Chlamydomonas reinhardtii: one gene and its partner. The protein of the gene in region 1 binds, or shares a complex with, the protein of each later gene. Links are inferred from orthologs where the notes say so. Each region holds a gene or a part of one and is shown on either strand. Other genes may lie near its edges.

Region 1 (4,330 bases):
CGGCGATGTTGAGGCGCTTGGTCTGCGGCCGGGCAGCCGGGCAGTCGGGCAGGTCGTGTGTGCAGCCGGGCAGCCGGGCAGCCATGCGGATTGGGTTAAGAGGGCAACCGGGGAAGGTGCTAAGGCTGGGTGCCACTCGATGGCGGTTTGCTGTTGGGCATTGTCCGTCTGCAGCTCCGCACCCAACCAGGTCCATCGCCAGTTCGCCGCCCCATCGACACCCTTTTCTCCCGCCCACGAACTCACGACACAGCCCACCCCTTGCCTTCCGTGGCCATCCCTGAACCACTGCCCCCCGCCCCTCAAGCATAGGCCACGCTCTCCTCCTCGCTCTTCTGCATTCGGTTCGGTTTAGTTCGGGCTGGTATCTAACCCCCCCCCCCCACACACACACACACCTGGTGCGGGAAGGCGTATCCGTCCACCACCGCCACCGCGTGCGACACGCCGTCACCGCTGTCCACCACCAGCCCCGTCAGCAGGCCCTGTGGACATGTGGCTGATGTGAGAGCAGGTACGGTGAAAACGGCTCGGCAGGTCGGTGCAGGAAAGGACGCGAACGCTAACACCGTTAAGCGTCGCACCGCATCGCACACACAGTCCTGTGTGTTCCCTTCCTTTGTGCTCTCTAACACACCCGGACACACACCCGGACACACACCCGGACACACACCCGGACACACACCCGGACACACACCCGGACACACACCCGGACACACACTCGGATACACACCCTGACACACACCCGGACACACACCCGGGCACACACACCCGGACACACACCCGGACACACACCCGGACACACACCCGGGCACACACACCTGGGCGTACAGCGTGAGCACCGCCTGGATCTGCATGTTGGCGCCCGCGAAGCCGTACGTCTCTGCGCGGCCACATACCACACACAAGTCATGGTGAGTTTCCCATTCCTCGTGTTTTCCAGCACAAGTCATGGGCCTCGCAGCTCCACTGTGCGGGCTGCGTCTGCGCACCTGTGTCTCCTCCGGGCCAGAGCAGCCCGCGCACCCCCTCCCCGCCCCAATTCGCACTGCCGTACGCTTCCGGTTTCGGCAGGCAACTTGGCGGCACGTCGTTGCCTACAGCCCCCCATCTCCCCTGCCCCCCACACAGGGACACGCCGGCCACCACCGCCACCCACCGAACATGACCTCCAGCATCTGCTGCCGGTTGGCGGTGGGGTTCATGGCCGGGTCTGTGAGCAGGATGCGGCACTCGGCCGGGTCCACGGCCAGCTGCTGCGGCCCGAAGGCGTGGTCCCAGATCAAACCCATCTCCTCCCTGGCGGCGCAGCGATGGGGGGCGAGGGGAGGGCGATGGCCGTTCATGGGGAACGGAGTGATTGAAGGAGTGGCCAGGACATGGCCGTGGGTGGGCACCTGAGCCTGTGAGCAATGGCGGCTGGACAGGACCTACCCCCACACGCTGCGCTTGTTGCGCTGTTGCAACAGCCCCAGCAGCGCTTGCCGCAGCGCATGTCACCACACTCCTGGATCCAGCCTCGCCCCGCCCCCACAGGCCAGCTGTCCAGCCGCTACCCCGGCCCCCGGCCCCCGGCCCCCGGCCGCACCATGACTGCACGACGCCGTTGCGCATGGGGTAGGACAGCTCCAGCTGGTCCTTGTTGCCGGAGGCCTCGGAGCCCACGTAGATGTCCTGTGGGCGGCAGTGTGGGCGGCAGTGTGTGGGCGGCAGTGTGTGGGCAGTGTGTGGGCGGCAGTGTGGGCGGCAGTGGGCGGCAGTGTGGGCGGTGTCGCACAAGCACCGGGGGCGACGCTCTAACACCGCCTTATGCACGTGCATTGCGTGCGCGCACTGGGGGTGGGGTACATGCCAGAGCCCAACGAAATAGATCCGCCGGGGGCGCGGAACGCCAGGGCCATCAGGCGCGGTCCGTGGTATGGCCCTGCTACTGCCGGCCAGTCCCGGCCCCCCGGTCCTCGCTCTACTGCATTGGGTGCGGTTCAGTTTGGGCTGGTATCTACAATTTCCACCCGGTCTTCCAAGCCACAGCCGTATGCCGACCGCTACCGTAGCAAGGACGGCAAACACTAGGGTACCGCACGCAGCGCTTGATCCCGGGAGCGGGCGCGTGCCCGGAAATGCCTGTCACGGTTGGCCGCACCACGCGCCATGCCTCCGGCACTTCCCCGCCCTCTATCCTCAGCCTCCTGGTCGCTTGCACCCAGCGGTCCCGCAGCCTGGCACGGTGGGGCGAAGGGGCTGCCCCACTGCCCCCACGGCTCTGGACAGGGCTCCTGAGAAAGCCGGGTGGTGGTTGCAGCCCCCACGGACAAACCTTCAGTTGCTGGTGCTGGGAGAAGGGGTCATTGTACTTGAAGCTGGGTCTCCCCACGAGGCACGGGAACACCGCCCGTGGGAAGCTGTCGCCGGCGAAACCGCATTTTACGAGCTGCGGACAACAGGCAAACAAGGAGCGTGTCGTGATGCAGGAGGTCACCAGTTCGCATTTCGTGGGTTGCAGGAAGCCACACGTTCCCCATGCTGATGTACACTGCTACCCAGATGTGACCAAACTTAACGCGCGCGCGTGGTTTGGAACTGGTCTCCGGAGCCGGCGCAACGAGCGTGCCTACTGCAGCACCCGCCAGGCGGGAAAGCGCGGGAACCGTGCCGCCCCACCGATCCACACGTGGACCTCCAAACTCACGCCGGTGCCGTTATCACACACCACCACGCGCTCGCGTTGGAAGTCGCCCATTTTGTTGTGCGGTGTTGCGAAATGAGGGTAACACTACCAACGCGCTCTTCGCCGTGGCGTGCTCATCTTGTCTCGTATATCTATGTCCTTAGAAAATTTAAGAAGCAAATTTTATGACATGGGGGGGCGCAGTGCTCCATGCCGTGAACCCGAGTTGGACATTGCAGCAGTTTCATTGCCCCTCTACTGCATACTTGAGTGTTTTACATCCACTGCCCCTGTATGATGCTCCTGTGACGACCATGTCTTCTAAGCTGGTCCGCAAACAGCTCTCTGCATTCATCGCCGAACAGTCAAAGGACGGCCAGAAGGCCCTAGCAGTCAAGGAGAAGAAGGCAGAGAAGAAGCGCGCGTCTGCATTGAAGAAGAAGGTCAAGGAGCTACAGAAGGAGGCCCAGGCGAAGAAGTCAGCCAAGCTTGTGCTGAAGAAGAACACCCAGTACTTTCAGACCACCAAGGCAGCATCTGAGCAGAACACGGAGCTGCAATTGAAACTACTCGCGGCCGCGACTAGCGGCAAGAAGTGATTCAGCCGCCTACACGCAGCGCCTGCGCTAAGCAGGCGGCCTCGACAAGCGTTCGAGGCCATTAGCTAATACCATGCAGAAATCCAGCTTTAGGGCCCGGTCGGGCGCACCGGCGGCTTCCTGGGCCGGCGCTGGCCCCGGCCCCTCGTCAGTCCGCGCCTGGCCGCCGGTCGTGCGCAGCGGACGCCGTCAGGGCACAGCAGTGCCGTTACGGACACAATCTCCTGACTCCGCCAGCCACCTTGCGACCTCCAGCCCTGGCCGCCACGGCCATGGCGCCAGGCGGGCGCCGCTGTGCCGCTCCGGGGCAGGGGGGCCCGCTAGCGGCGCCGGAACGGCGTTTGGTGACCCCAACTCAGTGATGGGCATGCTCATGGCTTACGCGGTGCAGATGCAGCAGCAGCAGCAAGCGGCGGGCGCCGGCGGAGCGGCACCGGGCGCCGAGGTGCGCGTGGAGGGGCTCACATTTCACCCGCCGGGCGCAGAGCAGCCGCTGCTTCAGGACATCCGCATGACGCTGCCAGCCAACAGCCTGGGGCTGGTCATGGGGCGGAGCGGCAGCGGCAAGACCACGCTGCTGCAGGTGCTTGCGGGCCTGTCGGAGCAGACGTCGGGGCAGGTGCGGGTGCTGCGCGGCGGGGCGGCGGGCGGCGTCGCGCTGCCGCCGACCAACGGCTACGCGGGCGGGAACGGGAACGGCAGCGGCGCGCACGCTCCGGCAGCGGCTGCGGCGGGGGGGCCTGGGGGCCTGACCATGGAGGAGCGGATGCAGCAAGTGGGGCTGGTGTTTCAGTTCCCAGAGCGACATTTCCTCGGAGAGGACCTACTCCAGGTACGCCGACGAAGCCGGTAGGGGCAGAACCACGAAGGGCCCCGCGCTTGGGTAGCTGGCACGGTGCATATGGCGGCGTGGCGCAGGTACCGGCGCGCAACATACATTTTTGGGCGGGGTTCGCCGCTTCAGGCATGGATCTGCGGATGGGCGCGGCACGACACGCGCGTAATAGCCGGCAGCATCGTTGCTGACGTGAAGCTTACTGTGCAGCTTACTGTGTAGACCAAC
Region 2 (4,228 bases), on another chromosome or scaffold:
CAGCCATGCACTCCTGCTCTGCCGCTGCAAACTGTTTGCTGTCTGCTTGGGGTACGGGCGTCAGCTGCACCCTATGGGACCTCGCCAACCTGCCTGAACCCTGTCCCATCACACACACACCCCTCCCCAAAGCACCCTAAAAAACCTCCGCACAAGGAGGCCCGTACGGCAATGGCCGACCTGACCTAATCTGTCGGACGAGGTACCTGACACGGTGGCAAGGTTCCTGAAGGGTTCCCAAAAGGGTAGATTCCCCGTCCGATAGGTCAGGATAGGCAGGGATAGGTCGGCAGCCTTGAAATTGCGGCCCAAAAACTGTCAATGTTTGGACGGAGGCCAAATCAGTAGTGAACCCGGGCTGATTATTCCGATAAGGTATGCTGTTACGGCTGTATTCTAGCCGGAGTAGGGGCGGCTAACAGTCAGGCTGCTTCGTTACTTAGGCGTCGGGAGGTTTCTACGCAGACTGATACGTAACCTTACTGCGCAACTATGTCGGGTAGCTCTCTGGCTTATACCCTCGCATGGGTTCCGGGTTTTCAGACACCGTATGTGGTAGGCCGCAGCATTGCTGGCTGTGCTGTTGCTCGGCGGCGGGATGTGGCTGGACACAATATGGCGGGCCGTGCCTGTACGAACCGACCCTATGTCCGGGAGATGAGGTAAACGCTTGTGGCCTCAGACTAAAGACGTGGCGTGGGCGCAGCCCACTTTTCCCATGCGAGTTCTTCCCTTTTGGTGTGATACAACCTGCACTGATCACTCCTCTTTGTCCATACCACAGGATATTGCAACAGAACCATGCATACCTTGTCCGACACGCACTCTCAGACCCCCTACGTTCTCCCTGGTGTAGTTTTGAACTTCTGACCGATATGTCAACACTCCCCCGCGGGCAGAACTCCATACCCATTCTACGTGTCACGTTAGCCTCATATCTCACCACGTACGCTTTCCGCTTCTAGTCACTTTGTGTCATTTCAAATGGTTGCATCACGCTCCCATGTCCTCGTCCATCATCAGCACAAATTATAATGGCATTCTACCGCATTCCAGTCCATCCAGAAATCCACAGACAATCATGACAGCACGACTGCCCCGTGTCCGAATGCTCCCCTACATTGTTGCGTCTACGGTTTCACTCACCGTACCTGCGGTTTCACCCACCGCCCCATGCCGCACTACCGGCATCACCGAACAATCATGGCGTCAGTGCCTTCGTCAGCACATCCGCTACCGTCTCTGCTGTCGGACAGAACTGAAACGTCACCTCCTTCATCTCCGCCCGCTCACGCACGGAGTGATGTATCATGGTCACGCACACGACCGTGCCCGATCCCTTGCCCGTGCCCGATCCCTTGCATGACAACGCCTGCCCATCTGCCCACCTGCTTGCGCAATCGCAACTGTTGAACTACAGCCTCTCAACGTCCATAATTGCATCTGACCCACACAGCTACGGCCTACCAGAGTGAGGCCGCCCCCCCCGGCGGTACGCGGTAACATGTCGTGTCAAAACGTTATGCCGCCCCCTCCTGCGGACCGTCTGCACGCTGCGTGTGTCCAGCAAGCATTTCACATGGTGCGGTCCAAAAAGCGCCGGTTGGCAAACGCCATCCAGTGCTTGTTGGGTGTAGCAGCAGCGCAAGAAGCAGCGGCAGAGGCAGGCGCACCCGAACCGCCAGGCGCAGCGGCGGCTGGGCCGTAGAGCCGGTCTAGAAGGCGGCGGCCGACCTCCTCCCGGCACTGGCGCAGGTAGGTGCGGATGGAATCTGCAGGCCAGCAGGCAAAGGTTAGTTGTCTCACAGGAAGGATGTAAGCCCCCGGCATGCGCGGCGAAGGCGGGGCGGCCGGGCCATAAGGGACGCGCAGCTGGCGAGACCCCGTGTGGCGGCACCGCTGCTGAATGAGGTGTTCCGCTTGAGCCTGCGGAGCCCTCCACCCCGCATCCAATGCACATCGCCATCTGCCAGTCTACGCTGCTGACTCACATCTGCACTTGCCCCTGCTCGACCACTCGACCTGACTTGCCTTCCTCCTCCCGGCTGGCCGGCGCCGTGAACAGGCCGCTGAGAGGGAAGCCCGCCTGCCCCGGCAGCGCGAACCGGTCGTGTGCGTGCGCGTACAGCAGCTGGCGCGCCTCCTCCCGTGGCGGCCCCGGCTTGCGCTCGGCGAGGCCTATGTGTTGGACAACGAAACGGAAATGAGACCCGCCCAAACGCCGGAGTCACTTACGGATACCTATGTGCGTGGCTTATGTGTGTGTATGTGTGTGTGTGTGAGCGGGGTAGGGGGATGCATGTGGCGCAGGCATGCACATCCGTGTCCGTGGGAGACCGGTCACACGCGGCGCAAGCCCACGCCCACAGCTACAAAGCATTTGCAGTCTTGCGGGAGCAGGCAAGCTGCCGTGAGCCCTGCAGCACTCTCCTCGGCATGTTGTTGACCGCATGCCCCCGCTAAACGCCCACGGCGCAACCCTAAACTGGCACCCTGAAATCTGCACACACGCAGCCTCGGACCCGCCGCACCCTCCCCCTCAACCCGTGCCGCCTCTGACTGAGCCCTCTGCACCCTCTCTCCACTTACGCCGCAAGCAGCTATTGATGAAGATAATCAGGTACACCAGCAGCTTATCGCCAGGTCCCCGGAACTCAAAGTTTTTAAACAGGGAATTTGGCCTGAACAGCTCAATTGCTTCTTCTACTGGATCAAAGCTAGACTCTGAGCCGGCGGGGTTAAGCGGAACGAGCGGAATACCACAGCACAGCTTGAAACCCGTGTCGCTGTTGTAGTGACTATGATAAGCCATGATAGGATAGTGTTCAACTGTGCGCAATAGTTTGACGGTGTAGACGCATGGGCACTCCTGAGAGCGGGACGAGGAATCGAGTTCCGAGCCCGATCGCCCGATGGCGCCAATTTTCGTTGCCATGTTTGTGCCTGCTGCTAAGGTGGCACTTTGCTCCGTAGACCAGACGTAGCTCAGTTCTGGATTACTAAACCGCATTTCGGGTCTGCTTTCAGGGCGTTCGAGAGTGATTTTTGTTTGTTTTTGGTGCTTGACCGCTGAGACGCCGAAAATTAAGTAGTTTACGGCCTTACCGTTCCTGCATACTTAACATAGCAACAGAATTTGGCCACAGGAGCTCACGGTCAGTTCATCAGCCGCCGCGTGAAGCCCTCGGCCACACACAAGGTGAACTTATGAATTGTATGCGTTTACCAGACATAGATGGATGGCCTGGGCTAGACAGAGCAAGCCGGGAGGCATTTCCGGGCCTGCGACCTTCAACTGCGCGGGGATCATCTCCGCAATCTTACGGACCTTTGTCCCGGCGCCCCAGCCGCAAGGGTTTAGCTATAGCTGAGGCGTCGCAGACGCAAAGGTCGGGGCGTCGGCAGAATGGGTGTTAGAGAGGTCTAAACATAGCGAGCGCCGTCTTCACACGTAAGGCACGCACCCCCTCAACGCGATCTGTGCTCCACGGCTGACTCCGGCGTGCCGCCCCTCGCAGGCTAAGCACCGGAGCGCAATGCCCGGAGAGGTTGCCGCCGCAGCCGCGGCAGGCGCCGCTGGCGCTGCGGGAGCTGGGGCGGAGGGCGGGCAGCCGGGCCAGCAGCGCCAGCAGGGCGGCTTCGGGCAGCTGCTGGGCATGGTGGTGCGCATGGGCGTCATGTGGTACTTCATGAACATGATGAAGGTGGGCGAAGCCGGGGCGGCTGGTGGGAGCCCGCGCGCTGTGGGGCTCGGCAGCCTCCAGCGCGGCTCAAGTCTTATGCTGTCCAGCGCGCGCGTGGTTGTGCTGTTGCCTGGCCCGTCTGCTGCCGTCTGCGCTTAGCGGAGGACCAACTTGCCATTCCACCATACCACAGGGCCAGAAGACACCGCCGCCTGCCGGCGGCGCGGGCAGCCCCGCCGCGGCCGGTGCGGGCGCGGGCGGCGCCGCCGACCTGTCAGGCTACCTGTACCCGGTGTTCCCCAAGGGCCAGCTGGTGGACATGTACATGTTCTTGTCGGAGCAGCGCAGCTACCCAAGTGAGTTAGGCATCAGGGGGAGCACCAGGGGCGCAGCTGTGGCATAGAAATGCTGGCTGGAGCTCAGGGGCGGTGGACAGTGATGTGCTGCTGCGCGGTGGCTTGTTCCCCCGGATACTGCAGCAAGAGGCGCTCATGGGCTGCAGCTGGTGGCCGCTGCTATCAGCACATTCGGAAGCACGGACTGGG

What was found.
Region 2: CHLRE_16g687500v5 (region 1) and CHLRE_09g397950v5 share a complex: the UniProt entries of both Arabidopsis thaliana proteins name them as parts of the arp2/3 complex. The link is inferred for Chlamydomonas reinhardtii from reciprocal best matches to the Arabidopsis thaliana genes ARP2 and ARPC3.

The regions. Positions count from the first base shown.
Region 1 is NC_057019.1:4,639,721-4,644,050, reverse strand, and holds the start of CHLRE_16g687500v5 (uncharacterized protein), read right to left. Parts: upstream 2,822-4,330; 5' UTR 2,741-2,821; coding exon 2,690-2,740; intron 2,432-2,689; coding exon 2,318-2,431; intron 1,675-2,317; coding exon 1,589-1,674; intron 1,300-1,588; coding exon 1,160-1,299; intron 884-1,159; coding exon 822-883; intron 486-821; coding exon 399-485; intron 23-398; coding exon 1-22. Other genes in the region: CHLRE_16g687550v5 (uncharacterized protein), read left to right, coding at 3,341-4,099. UniProt on the Arabidopsis thaliana protein: Functions as ATP-binding component of the Arp2/3 complex which is involved in regulation of actin polymerization and together with an activating nucleation-promoting factor (NPF) mediates the formation of branched actin networks.
Region 2 is NC_057012.1:1,519,613-1,523,840, forward strand, and holds CHLRE_09g397950v5 (uncharacterized protein), read right to left. Parts: upstream 2,847-4,228; 5' UTR 2,813-2,846; coding exon 2,590-2,812; intron 2,179-2,589; coding exon 2,032-2,178; intron 1,773-2,031; coding exon 1,576-1,772; 3' UTR 651-1,575; downstream 1-650. Other genes in the region: CHLRE_09g397900v5 (uncharacterized protein), read left to right, coding at 3,537-3,704, 3,877-4,039. UniProt on the Arabidopsis thaliana protein: Functions as a component of the Arp2/3 complex which is involved in regulation of actin polymerization and together with an activating nucleation-promoting factor (NPF) mediates the formation of branched actin networks.